Lepisosteus oculatus: one gene and its partner. The protein of the gene in region 1 interacts with the protein of each later gene in a pairwise test. Links are inferred from orthologs where the notes say so. Each region holds a gene or a part of one and is shown in the gene's direction. Other genes may lie near its edges.

Region 1 (7,052 bases):
CTTCTTCCTAAAACTTAGTACTGTATATCCATCTTAAACCTGCACACAGAATTTAAGCAACACCAAAGCAGGGTATCCAGATGATTATCACCAACCATCTCTGTTTATTTCCATTAACGTATCTGCTACCTTCTTACACATGTTCTGGAAGTGCCCTGTGGTAAGAGTCCTTGTAGGCGTGTCTCTAATGTACTGTACCTCTGGATCATGCTGCTATGCCACCAAGCCCTCAACCTCTCCTTCTCAAGAAGGATTCACAATCTGCCAGGAATCTTCAGATGCAGTGGTTTTAGTTTGTGCTTTTATTTGCAGCCACAAAATTTCATTTCGTGAGGTTAGTTTGAGACTGTGATTTACTTTAACCAATACTAAGACTATGTTACCTAAACTGAACCTTTTTACAGGCTCAGCAGTCAAGAATATGATGGAAATATTCAGCATCCTTAAAGACTTCCAACACAGTCAACCCAACCGACTCCTTCAGATCGCACTGTGAAACACAGACCAAAGGTTACAAGTGGACACTACTTGGAAGTCCATTTAAGAACAACAACTGGGGGTACATCTTTCATAAAGGGTTGGGGGAGAATGGAACAAGCTAACCAACCACGTTGTTGAAACCAGTACCCTGGCTTTGTTTAATAAATGCCTAACTACCACCTGCACAAGATAGGCTGAATGAATGACTCCTTTTATTTGTACCTAATTCTTATGTTCTTAACATAACAGTGTTATGAATGGAAAAGTGGGTTCCGTTCATTTGCAAAAATTGTTCTTATGGACAGATGTAGAACTGGAACAAGAAAGTGTGGTAGCAAGGAATTCTCCATGGGAGCAACAATCCAAAGACGCTAGCTGATGGTGAGAACAGGAGGATGGTTTTATTCGCTAGCAAGACTGGGCAATGGAGACGATACTAAGTCATGGGAGTATAGGAAAAGCTAGCCAGACCTGTTGTTGAAGCAGATACCCTGACTTAATTTAAGAAATGGTTAAATAAAATCCTCAGGTCAACTAATTAACAGGATAGATGGGAATGCCCTCCTTTTATAACCAAGATGATCTGGCAGGAAGAGTGCACCGAAAACAGTAAAATTTAAACATTTAGGCTTCTGTTGGTTATAAAACAGGTTTACAGCAAAGTGGCAAGAATAAAATAACCATATATATCAGATGGGAATTCCAATCATTTATAAATGAGGATATAAATCTATGTTTTTTTTCTTAATCCACAAATTAACAGACTTATAGCTTTGCTTTTATTCGACACTACAGCATAAAATGTTGGTGTTCTCCCTAGATAACTAACTGATTAATTGTGCAATAAAAAAGATAATGAAAGAAAGACTTGTAGCCACATTCTTATTTGGGCCAGCCCTGGCAAAAATTAGTGTGAGCACCTATTGGCACAGTCACAAGAACATTGTCTAGAAGAGAATCCGTGTGACATTATTTCAACATCTAGAAGAGAGAAATAGATGGAGAATGTTGGGTGATGTACTGAAGCCCTTTATTGTCATGTAACATTCCTCAGATATTAACACAGATTACTGTACTTGAAAAACAGGCAGATTGGGAGCTGTCCATCATACAATGGTGCTGAAATCTGCTGACATACTGTACTGTAGTTTGTGTATTAAAAAGGCTGGATGAAATAAAAATGAAAGAAAACCGCATGCCAAGAGGTAGACATTTGGATTCTGGTTACATTCTTGTTAACAATCAGAAAAATATTCTGAAAGACCACTAGATAAAGATATGTACATAACTGAAACATGTTATGTAACAATACTATAAAACGAAATGGTAATGTGAGAAACCTGATTTTAAGTTCTGTAAGTGATTTTAAAGTGATCTACATAAAGGAAGAAAATGTTGGTTTAAGGTCATGGAAAGGCACAGCATGTTTTAGTTTTATAATATTCCAAACATGGTCTGAAAGCAATGTTCCCCAGACCTAGGGTTGTAATAATCCTTATTACTACCCTGGCAATTTGTATTCCTGGACTCTTTATGATATATTTTTTTTACTGAGCTATTTATTTCAATAGATTAGTAAGGCAACAATTTATTAAACAGGTTGAGAATCACCTAGCATAAAATGCCGCATTTACTGAGCATCTTTAAACCTTTAAAAGCCAGTATATATCTGAAACCAAAAGCCCACAGCTGACAACAATTAAAAAATACAATCAATACAACAACTCAAAACAAACTTTACAGAAAGGATAAAGATTAATTAGAGTAGAAAAATGAAGGTTCAGTTGCAATAGAATAGAAATAAAAAAATTAAAATTAAATTCAGGATGTCCTAAGGTTTCTTTATTGAAGGGGACCCAGCCTTATGTCATCTTAATTTTTGTAACATTTACTGAGAGCTGTATTGAAGGAAATAATTATTTAGTCTTCTAGGCAGACTTCAAAATCCACTCTCGAGTTGTAATGTAGTTCAAACCAAAAGCACTAAAGTTGGGTTAAGGCATCTCTGCTTAAAAAACAATCAATCAATAGCCACATCCTTAAATCTAATTCCAGCTCTAATGCCACTGATCCAGTTACACACACTGGTTTCAGTTTAAATCTCCTCAAGGCCAGTAAAGCCATAAGGATTGTTCTATGAAGGCAGATAAATTATTCAAAATAAATGTTTTTTTTGCCATTCACTAGAATGATGTGGCCTGCTTTCTCGTAACTAAATTCTATGAGGTTTATTCTCAATTTATCAATCTTCCTGTCTAGTCTTAAAAGTAATCTTTATAAGCCAAAGCCAACCTTTATTTTATCGTTACCTTTATTTACATGACCTTTCAAAACAAGAACATATTCGTCAGATTCAAGCAGTGATTCTGGAGCCCTAACCTCCAAGAGTTTTGTTTTGAGAGCTGGTGGCTTTTCTGCTACCAGAAAGAACCTCTACATGTAACCATTTTTTAACCCTGAATACATAGTTATAACAAATTCGGCCAGTCAAAGGTACTGTAAAAATGTTGCTCTAGAAATAAATTACAGTGGAGTTTGGTTGTATCATTAACATACTACAATGAAGGTTCATCAGCCTTTAAATCTGTTATAAACTGTCAACAAAAGAAAAAACTATATTCCTTTTAACTTATGTCTTGCATTAGTCAAAGGCATCAAAGCTTTTATAGATCTCTTTTACTCTTTCTTTAGCACAGGTTTGGTAAAAAGCACACTTGTTACAGGCTCTCTCAAGAATAATAAACCTTCACAGCATGGGATATCATGGGAGTCTAGTTCCTTCTTCCATTGAGTCCAGGTGTTCCCACTTTTGAGAGATTGGTCTAGTATAGGCACGGCCCTGAAAGGTTCACTAAATGCTCTTCAGAGCAGAACTAGATATGTCATCTTTCTAGTGCAGACTGCTGTGTGATCTGCGTAGAAAACAATTTTCAACCAGTACAGGATTTGCTATATGGGCATTTTCCATGCCAAATGACAATCTGCAGAAACAACTCAGTGTGCTACCATCCTCTTCTGAACTAGTCTAGTAAACTCACTATCACAGATTCTGTGCTAATTTATAAAATGAAGAATTTAGCTTTTAGTCATCGAACGAGGTACGTTGATTGAATGTGAGAACACACTATTCCTTTCACGAACCAAAAAAGTAGCACAGAAAATGTTAACTCTGCTGGCATTTCACCTACGGTATATTTAGTATTGTTCCAGAAACCATACTAATGTACTCTGAATAGTCAGTGTAGTGGGTTTGAATAGACCTGTTTAGTACATCTGTATAGACATCTGTAGCACACAAAAGCAAATCCTGGTGTTTAATGACATCAGTCATTAAATGTGCTGGATTTGTAGACAGAATGTGACCAGAAAAACGCCTTTCAAAACATCAATTGTCAGCCTTCTTTACAATGCCCTGTAAAATGTGGTAGGAGTAGCTTTAAAAGAAAATCATGTACTGGCTTGAGGCTTTAACCTCGATAGAAAACCAAGAATGTTATACCCAGCTACCCAGTTTGTTAGGCAGTCCTAGACTTGAATATATTACCATTGATCCCTGGAGCATAAACAGACCTGACAGGACCTAGCAGAGGAGAGAGAGCCAAGAGGAGGGGAGGGCCACTGCTGATTCAAACTGGATTAAATAGGTAACCTGTGCTGCTGTAAAATGGCTCTGTTACCGCTGTCACAACTCGCGCGGAATTAGAGCAGAGAGGGAACAAAGCCTTCAGAGCCAACGTACTGTACATGTAGGTGCTGCAGGAACAGGCAGCAGGGACATGTCTTCTGTTTTGTATCCTGGGGAGCATGGTATCCCCAAAGAAATCCTTCTGGTTTGGCTGCAGAAGCAGGAGCAGCTCCATCAAGGTGAGTCTGGCCTGATTGGGTCGGTGAGTTCTCACTCAGCAAAGTTCTTATGCTTCAGCAGTGCGTACAGTACCTCACATCTGTCAGTCTGCACAATGATGACCTGTGTGCCGAGGAAACACACCAAGAATGTCCAGACTTAGCCTTCTTGTTTTCTGTGTGGCCTTTCAAGCTGTGTCATCTGCAATTCTTTTGGTTTAGAATGGTAGAAATAACACAGACAGATTAAAGTGCAACACCACCACTCAAGCCAAAAAAGTAAAGATGGCCAGACAAGAACTGTTATTTTTGCTTGTTAGGCAAGATAAAGTAACTTCACCGACTGAAACATACTGTAGTACAAGGTCCAGTCCAATGTATTAGCCAGGTTAAGTGGCCTTTATCATCTCCTGGACTGTTGGACTTTGTGCTATTTTTAAATCAATGTGTTTTCAAAAATTAGATCTGTGAGTGTTGCACTTCTTTGCTTCTGTTTAGGATGTAAATGCAGAGTAGTTACTGACCTGTAATCAATTACTCCTGGTTAGGATGCATGTTAAATGGAAAAGGTTCACTGGTAATGTGCTGTATTTTAAATGTTTCAGTAAAGACAAAAATGGGCTTTTTGTTAGGTACCTGTATTTCACTGAAAAAGAAAAGGCAACCATAAAATTGTCCAAAGAAACAAAATTAAAAAAGAATGGGGGTTTGGGATCAGTGTGGTAATCTCGAGTCCGTCTCATATATTATTTTAAGGAAACCTCACATTGAGGCTAGGAGAATGTCAACTGAAGAGGAGAAGGAAGTTTTGTTTTGTGACAGACAACACAGTACAACCACATTGAAATAGAATTCCACAGCTAGCATTGTACATGTCCCTGACATTGCACACTCCCAGCATCCAGTCATAAAACACTATTCACATTTTCTGCAAGGGAACAAGTATGATTTATGACTGTAAGAAATAAAAAAAATCAATATTGAGGTGAGTGAGTTCCGATCTTTAAGCACTATGGAATCTTAAAAGATAAATAGGACAGATTGTACAAGAAGAAAACAGTATTCTCCATGCCAAGCTATTTTGTTACTGAAAAATATATAATTCTCACACTTAACGATTTTTTTACTCTTGAGTTGGCTTGGGGTCCCAGTGTGAATCCATGGTTCATAACCTATGACCAGACAGGCTTTGCATTTGGCTGGACGCTCAGTGAAGATCTGCTAGGAGCTGAACACCTACTTCCTTTGACTGGTGTTAATTTTGAGCTCTCATCTTTGCAGAGGCCTTGGGAGTAACCCAATGCTTGCAATGTCCAAAAAACTTCCATGAGAAATTATTTGGTGCACACTGCTCTGTTTTATTGCAACAGTCAGCCAAGGTCTCAACTCAGATGATCTTGTCAACTTTATTGGTCCTTACTGCCCGCTGCTTTTATTCAAAGTGACTTACATTTATACTGGGGGGTATTTTACAGAAGCAGTCTGTACATCCAAACTAAGCGTCATTTTCAAGGGACTCCTGAACGGTACTCAAACTTATCCGACTGCTTTACTACTAAAATGTTTATTGGCTTGGGGTAATGTTATACACTATACAGTATACCTGTAATACATATTTAACTTATAGCCCTGCCTAATGTTCACAAGCGTTATTTTGCATAGTCTTGTCAATAACAATTTACAATCTAAAATTTGATTCAAGTGGTATTGCCTGCAAATTTACTTTTACAGTTACTTTATTTGACGCCATTTAAAAAAAAAGAGATCCTTTTTGTAAGCAAATGACCACATTGCAACAGCATGGGACACCTCGCAAACAAAATCGTACAGATGCTACATCTCATTCATTGGTGTTTACGACGCCAGACAACAGGCTCAAAACACGAGCAGTGCCTTCTGAGCAGCTCTCCAGTGCCTGACTTTTTCTTGCTGGTTAATAGGATTCCAATTGGCTTTAAGCCTTTCAAAACCTGTTTAAAAATTTCCAGTAAGCGGAGAAAGAAGCAACGGTAAATGGATTAAGTGGTTTGTCTGATATCTTAATTGTTCTTATTTAAAGATATCTTTTATCAAATGGGTGTGTTAAAGGTTATTGAAATTTCAGTTAGTATCTGCTTGTATAGGTGATGTCCAATGGATGGTTCCTTGTATGATTCAGAGGAAAGTATTTGTGGTAGTTATACCTCATTTTTGCAGTAAGTTCTATAGTTTTAATGGGGATTTATTTTACTACTGTACATTTATTGCAAGAAGAACTACTGACTTTGGGTACCCTTTTCTTTCTTTGATGATTTTGTATTCTGAACAACACTGGCATAGGCCAGAAGCTCATTGTAAATGTTTTTTTTCCTGGATATTATCATCATTATCATCAACAACACAGGCATTCATCACGATTGTGTATTATGTAAGCATACTCTATGCAAGGTTCAGTCTGAAAGCCCTCCATCTTTTCTTTGGCCTTGGGTAAAGGCTAAGTTCACTGGAACAGAGGTACAGGCTCATGCACCAGAGATTAATGACCTGATTTTGTAAACTGGCATTGCCAGTTTTCAGGCCACTGATTTGTAAACCCCATTATTTAATTCCAAATGTCGTGCATATTAAGATCCCATTTTCCACAAGCATCTGCTTGTGTCCACCTCTCTGAAGTCAGTAACTTTTCCACTAACAACTGCACAACTACTCAGGTCAATAAGATATGGTACAATAACAGTAAGGTTGTAAAC
Region 2 (7,678 bases), on another chromosome or scaffold:
CTGCAGCTCATGTCTGCCCTGCTCCAGCTCCTGGCGGGGGGTAGACACAGACCAACAACCGGCTGAGGCACACTGGTCAGCTTGGCCAGAAAGCAGGAACTTAGGGGTTTCAAATGCTTCCAGTTTGCTCCTTTATCTTCAATATGGTAAAAACAGAGCACGATTCCAAATGGAGACTGGGCTGGACAGACTTCAAAGAAGTCATTATAAGTTTATCATATTGTGATTTGTAAAGAAAAATCACAAACGAGACTCAGACAGACTATGTTTGTGATGACTTGTTTGCTGAAGATTTTTTCTTTCACATGGTCCAGATTAGAAGGCTGTCAAAGGAGGACAATGCTGTCTCACTCTCCACACGATCGTATCATATGTACTGTTAAAACACGTGGGACATTTCCTGTGAAATATTTACCTGATTAGTTAAATACAAAAGTATTTAAAGGGAGAGCTCAAACTGCAAAGACATTTTCACAGTTTGGAATGAGCAGCCTTCTTCAAACACTTTGTAAAACATAGAGATTTGGCTCAAATTCAATATTCATTTTAAGATCTGTTGTTAGACTTAGATATCTGATTTTTGCACTTTACTACTGAATAAAACAGTCCGTTTTTTACATTAAGACCTAAGAAGGTTCTACAACAACACTTAACACTATTTGATCATTATTCCTGTTATGCCCTGTTTTGTGAGCAGCATCAGGGAATAAGAAGATAATGTCATTTATCAAAGAAAGATTACTTTTCACCTAGACACTAGACTAGACACGTCTCTCAGGCGAAGTGCTCACCACTCTCAGCAATTTCCTCCTGAGACGTTCAATAAGACCATGTCACAAAAAAATATAAATTGGCACATAACGAATGTAGGTGCGCTTGGTCAGCGGCGCGACATAAATACTGTACATAACGGTAAAAAAACAGTTTTTTCCCTCATAGATTAACTTCACCAGAAACAATACAAAAACAACTATGTACAATAGCTCAATAAGAGTGAGAAATACAAAGGCTTTTCTGTCTGATCGTGACGTTCACTGCTGCTTATCGTGCAAAGTCCCAACTACAAGGATTCATAAAATGAAGAATGTATTTGAATTGCCTCTCTCGGGGTGGTATATTTATGCCCTTGTTAAGCTGTATTTCACTCCCCTGGCTGCACCGAAATCTCCAGAAAACTCGTTTAAGTACCACAGGTATTTACGGTGAACAAGTGCCTCTATAACTTACGGCTTTTGGTTGTTCCACGAAGAACAGGGAACGTCTATACTTTGAGTTCCCAGCGATGCGGTTTTCTGCACTCTGGTTTCTAGGCAATTCACCCAGAGATGGCATGCTCCCAAGATCACAGAGAAGGGTCACTATCAACAAGTTATTTAATGTCCCTTCTTTTATCTGCGGGATAGCGGAAGCGTGATTCATCTGCAGATGAAACAATCCAAGCACTAGCCTAACTTTTCCATCACCCATCGCTCTGACGCACCAGGTACGAGCATTAAAACATGATGCCTAATCCATTGCCATCGAAAAGAACATTATTTTAGCACCGTTACCATTTTCGTGTGGACTTGTTTTATATAGAAAATATTAGACAAAATCCAAACTGTAAACACCTGTCAAAAACTATGTTTTTATTCCCGTTCCAGAAAAGTTGAAGAAGCGAAGGACCCCTCATTATTAAAAAAAGAAGGGGGTTTATTATATGCATTCAACCCGATGTTGGACATAGGTATATTGTCACAGTAATTGACATGTATTTAATATCGGATAATGCAACATAGGAGTATCAGCTCTGAGGTTAAAGAATGTAATAATTGGTCAGCTTAAAGCACTTAAAATGGCAAACACAAAATGCCAACAAATAATTGTAAAAAAAAACTAATTAAAAACCCGTACCGCACCATGCTGGTTCTGGAATGTGTAAATCTAAAATGCTTTGTACATAAACGTGACTCACTGTTTCTTAACACTAAAATTAGTTCAGTGGGGGTTTTGTTTCTTTGTTATTTTAACTGAGGCTAGTGGAAAACCAGACGGCACACACAGTAACGGTATATTCGCAGCGTGTGTGCAGGCAAAGCGGGGTGACAGGATAACCACAGACGGTTCCATACACCAGACTGCGTTGTGTTCATGCCCTTACCTCTAATCTGTCCGCGTACTTCTCATGAAGTTTTTCGTTCTGTTCTTTGAGTTCGCCGTTTTCCCGAAGAAGCGCATTCCCCAGCTCGGCAGCCAGAATCAAATCCTCTTCCTTTTGTTTCAGAGTCACCAAAAGTTCGCTGGGGTCCTGACAGCCGGACAGATCTTCCGAGTCAAAATCGAAAGAATAAAACTCTTCCTCCGGTTCTAACGCGTGTGACTTCACTCCCCATCCATCCAATCGACTCATGACTTTTAATTAAAACTAAAAAAAAAAGATAACAAAAACTAAGTCAGTCTTAAAAGTGCATAAGAGACGCGGATTTTGTACTGCCTTTCAAGCAAAGTTCAAAAAACACCATCCATACATATAGTACATAGGCTTTAACCAGGCTGTGAGTCGAGTGTGCGGTCGACTGACGCCTACTGTAGGTTTGTTGATCACCCAGAGTGGATCTGAAAGGGAAAAAAGTGGGCAGGTCCTTTATAATTCTCAGGTGACTTCACTAGAGACAAAACCTGGAGAGGACACGCCGCGTCACCAAGCAACAGATGGCAATACGAGAAGCAATCTTTCCTATCATAAAAAACGATGGGGGTTTCATAATTGGCGTTTCAGATTGAGCAAATTCAGAGCTCTCTCACTCCGAACCGATATGAAACCCGGGAGACGGGCTTTTGTTGCTTTGGGTGGGAATCAGGTGCTGGTGAGAGATTGAAAAATTGAAATTAGTAGGACTTTCAGGGAGCAATTTAAAAATGCCAGAGGCGCCATCAAAAAGCCCGGCGTCTCAAAATTGCATTTGTGTTCAGTTCAGTATTAAAACCCACTCCATAAGGCCCTTTCAGCAACTTTTCAGAATCCCAGCTGGTTTTCAGGTGAATATTATCATGCATTCTGTTCGTGTAACGCTATGAAATCCCTTTCAAACGAATCATATAGACGGACTGATAACTATTATAATACAATATTAATTAATAAAGGTTTTCAATGTTAACTAAATGGACCATGTAATCCGATTTATACTGTAGAATACCAGATTGTGTAATTCTACTTGTGTGGAAGGGGGTGTCTATTGATCCAACACAGTAACAATTATGTAACTAAGGCATAAACTAACGTTTGCTATTCCAAAACATGCAAAAGGTAAATATACATATATCATAAATAAATCAAATCACATCCAGAGGAATATGTGTGCAGAAATAAGAACTTCCCTTTTTACCCCCAAAAATTAACAAAGCATTTGGGTTTTTGTGTTTAAGATATTGACTCACCTCTGCCTGAAACCCCTTGTCGGCCAGTTATTTTCTGACACATGACGCCTGATTTGAGCTGTGTCTGTGAGGGCATCCTGAGTGCACATTGGGAAACGTGTCTCAGTGCTGACATGTGATACATCAATGTCACTTTTCTTTTGGTAACATCTGACTTATGTATTACACTGCTGATTGCTTCACATTTGTTCAAGAAACTGAACCCAGTCTTTAATGCCACGACTTTTAACATCACATTTTGCTGAGCAACACAGAAACCCTACAGATTCAATATCTTTGTCATTCTGTGTCATACCTACACAACCAAAGTTGAACCGCTTATTGCACAAATTTTGGTTTGGTCAGGAGGGGAGTTAGACCACTCCCTGTCCATCGCTGCACAGTCCCAGTCTGGGAATGGGAGGTGCTCTATAAACCCCAGCAGCTTTGGCAGAGACACTTATCTGACAAAAACAAGGTGATTTTCTATTAGCTGAGGGTCTGTGCAATAGATTCCATCCACCTTTGGAGAGGCACAAATTTTCCCCATTCAATTCTGCACTGCAGTTTTTCTAAAGGTGATCCACCCAGACCAACAATATTAATAAAGACTTAAAACGGAATGAAGAAGGTTGATTTGCTATTGGCTGACTGTCTTAACATTGTATGTTTCACCACTTTTGATGGTGCAAAAAATGTTTTTGTCCCTGGTTATAGTTTTAAAAACGGATTGAATTTAAATATAATAAAGGATTTGATTTAATTACAAATTTCAGATACAGCTCCTTTAAAAGCTTGCATCTTAAAACCTTTTTCATTGAACAGAAAAAAAAACATTTCTATGAAAAAAATATAGCAATGACAATTTTTACAGTAGTATAAATGGAAGAAAGGCGCTGTAAACTCAATAAAAACTATTCCAATAATCTTAGATTTGTCAAACTTGGAGATTAGTGGAGGCGATTTTAAATTAAAAAAGGACCCTCTCAAACTTTAGCTGAATGTTCAGGGAATTGCAGTTAACCGTGAAGAAATAACAAAGCAGGTGTTTCAGCTGCTTGTCACTTCGCTTAATGTTGCTATACTCATACGCTACTGCGGTGGCTGAAAGTCTTTTATTTTTAATGACGTTCGGCTATTTACATACACTTCCGGATCATTCGTGTCGCTCAGTGTAGCTTTTTCTTATTTAAACACCAGAAATACAAAAATGGAGACAGAATACTGAAATATATACAGACTAGTTTCACCATACTCGCACTGGAGCGCGTCTCTGCTACCGGAAGTCGGGAGTGTTACAATATGATGTAACACTGGGGACATTTCCGGATCGGCTTTTAGTTAACACAAGGTCGCTCTCAAGCAGAGAGACAGGAGAGGATCGGCTTGTTTCTGACATAGAGATCTGTTTTATCTTTTAGAACAAAATGCCAAGCAGAGGCAGTAGAAGCAGGATGTCTAGAGTACCACCTCCGGCCAGGTAAGAGAAAATAATTACAGAAGTGTACCTCATAATACTTTTTGATCATTTTCGTGCGCAGCGTGGCCTAGCGAGTAGATTGCACTGTACTTTTCTGCCGTGAAATACCCGTAGGTATGTCCAGCCGGAAGTTTCTAGAATAATCTGCTTGTTTCTTAAATATAAGCTACCGTGTTAAAAGATGTCGTCTCTGTATAAGAACGGTGCCTTATTCTGAACAGTTAAAAGGGTGACTGATGCGTTTTGCGAATACTGTGAAATGCATTAGTTAAGTTAGGTAATGCACACGGTGTTTAATCTCTCATATAATTTAGTATTGCAAGAGCTATTTATAATTAAGTCACAATTGCAAATATTAAGTTTACGTAAGAGATTTAGCAGTGCAGTTTGATTCAGGAGTAACTTGTTTTGGATTATATATATAAAAAAAAAACATTTGTTAGACCTTGAGCTTTCAGAACAGAAGTGGCGAGCCAGGCTTGAAGATAAATAAGAGATGAATGTGTGCTTGGCACTCTGTCGACCAGGGTAATGCTCTCTGTCTCCGCACAGCCGGGCTCCACCAAGACCGATGGCCAGGGCTGCCCCACCCCCCTCCTCCCTGCCTGCCCACCCGCCTCCCTCTGCCATGGCCGCCCCCTCCGCAGCCCCCCGACAGCCCGGGATGTTTGCCCAGATGGCGACCACAGCAGCCGGCGTGGCAGTGGGCTCTGCTGTCGGGCACACACTTGGCCATGCCATGACAGGGGGCTTCGGTGGCGGGGCAGCTGCAGAACCAGGCAGGGCCGATATCACCTATCAGGTAAGCGCTTCATGACCGGATTGTAACTCTGAGCTGTGAGTGTAAACCTACTCAGGGATGTATAAAATGAACCAGTGTTTTTTTTTGTGCAAAACATGCTGATCTGTTACTCTTGCAAAATAACTGTGCTGTGCCCAGAAATGCCACACAGTGGTGGTGGGGGGGGATGGGTGTAGGCCCTCTCCTCTGATCTACCCACCTTAAAGCTGTTCCTCTTTTTTCACATCACGGGCTCCACAGCCCCCTGCCAGAGACTTGGTGCTGATTACAGGGGCGCCCGACAGCACTGCTTGCCTCTGAGCACAAGCGAGGTTGTGGGGGTCGCTGTGTCACTGAGAAAAGAGGTATCTCTGGCCAACTAATCCCACCCTACCCCGGCTGGTGCTCAGCCATCGCTTGTGAAATACCATTCCCAGTCAGGTACTGACGTGGGCCAAGCTCGAACCCGCTCTTCATTCAAAGGTGCCCTTTAAGCTCTGCACTCAAGGATTCGGACTGCCTGTTTGTGGTCTAGCCTGTGAGTAACTGTACCTAGCCCGGATAAGGGTGATTGCCTCTAGGCAAAAGGTCTGGGATGTTTTGCTCACAGCTGTGGTTCAGCGAAACAGTTCATGTGTGCTTTGTGCCCACAGGAGCCTGCTCCCCCAGCTCAGCCCATGTACCAGCAGCAGGCTCAGCAGAACCCCTGCACGTATGAGCTGAGGCAGTTTATCGAGTGCGCGCAGACCCAGAGCGACCTCAAGCTCTGTGAGGGCTTCAGTGAGGTGCTGAAGCAATGCAAGTTCTCCAATGGTAAATCACTTTTAACTTTCCTAACTGGAACTCACAAAATAGATATTCTTTTTGACAAACCAGAATCTGGTACCTGACTAAGATCTCAGGTAGTAATGTAATCGTAACTGATGTGCCCTGCATTATCAACAGGGAGACTAGAGATGGAAACCCCATCCCACAAGTAGATAGACATGGTGACGCTTGTCAAAACCATTTAAAGGTTTTCTCCGCTTCAGTAATTCCAGTGAAGTGCCTTCACTTATTCTTACAGAGGATAGTTTGTATTAAATTAAAAAAATTCTAATGTCATTCTTTAGGCAAATAAACAAAATGCTGATGTAAAATTAAACTAAATATAATTTTAATATCTTCTTTATCTTCTTTTTTCAGGGTTGGCATGAAAATCCAGAGCAGTGAAATTAGTTCAATAATAAAAGGAATCCAGTGCACAGTAAATATTTAATAACGCTCAGTGTTGAGTTTTCTCTTGTAGACTGCCTTTATTTGATATGCAACAAATTCTGCTTATTTCAGGTTCTGGGATAATTGTCTTATAAAAATTGTATGCGTTTCAATTCCTTTGCAAATAAAACAAGAAACCTGTTTTTTTTTTCTGTGTCAATTTGTCTTTAAATACCATGTTGTCTTTGAAAATTGTGTACTTTTTGTCGTAGGGGAAACTTTATTTTTGATTCTGAATAAATGTTCCCAGTTATTTTTGTCTCCTTCTTGCTTTCTGATTGAGAAAAGCTGTAGTCTTTTCTGGGGAATAAAATGGCATTCCAAGGTATGAAGGACAGAGGCTGTGGTTTCATGTAGCTGATAGATTGAAGCACAGCCATCAAGAACCGCAAATGAGATTTTAGGAATTGTATTTTATACTAATGGTAATTCCTGACAGCTGTATTTTGTCGTACAGTAAGTAGCCTTTGGGCTTTATAAATGTCATGGTCTGCATTTGCGTCTCTCTAAACAAGGAACAGCTGACAGTAAATTAGGTAGATTGAATTCATAAAAATGAAGGGATGGCTACTACAACACACCATATTGACTGCTCATGTGTCAGTTACTTTGCATTGTTGCGATAATGATGTTTAATACCAGAAAACACAAGTTGAGGTTTTTGGCAAACTGTTGATGCCCATAACATATATATTTTACACAGCAGTGAAGGAATTAAAGCCAGTCCCTCACAACAGGGTTGGCATGAATCACAAAGTGGAAGA

Evidence for each region.
Region 2: the proteins of lhx4 (region 1) and chchd2 interact in binary tests that used the Homo sapiens proteins (3 or more experiments, as listed by UniProt). The two-hybrid records come from large-scale screens. The link is inferred for Lepisosteus oculatus from reciprocal best matches to the Homo sapiens genes LHX4 and CHCHD2.

Annotation. Positions count from the first base shown.
Region 1 is NC_090704.1:26,256,368-26,263,419, reverse strand, and holds the start of lhx4 (LIM/homeobox protein Lhx4), read left to right. Parts: upstream 1-4,031; 5' UTR 4,032-4,256; coding exon 4,257-4,344; intron 4,345-7,052. UniProt on the Homo sapiens protein: May play a critical role in the development of respiratory control mechanisms and in the normal growth and maturation of the lung. Binds preferentially to methylated DNA.
Region 2 is NC_090721.1:5,755,683-5,763,360, reverse strand, and holds chchd2 (coiled-coil-helix-coiled-coil-helix domain-containing protein 2), read left to right. Parts: upstream 1-4,714; 5' UTR 4,715-4,823; coding exon 4,824-4,876; intron 4,877-5,428; coding exon 5,429-5,678; intron 5,679-6,310; coding exon 6,311-6,470; intron 6,471-6,842; coding exon 6,843-6,853; 3' UTR 6,854-7,167; downstream 7,168-7,678. Other genes in the region: bicdl2l (bicaudal-D-related protein 2-like), read right to left, coding at 1-30, 2,141-2,389. UniProt on the Homo sapiens protein: Transcription factor. Binds to the oxygen responsive element of COX4I2 and activates its transcription under hypoxia conditions (4% oxygen), as well as normoxia conditions (20% oxygen).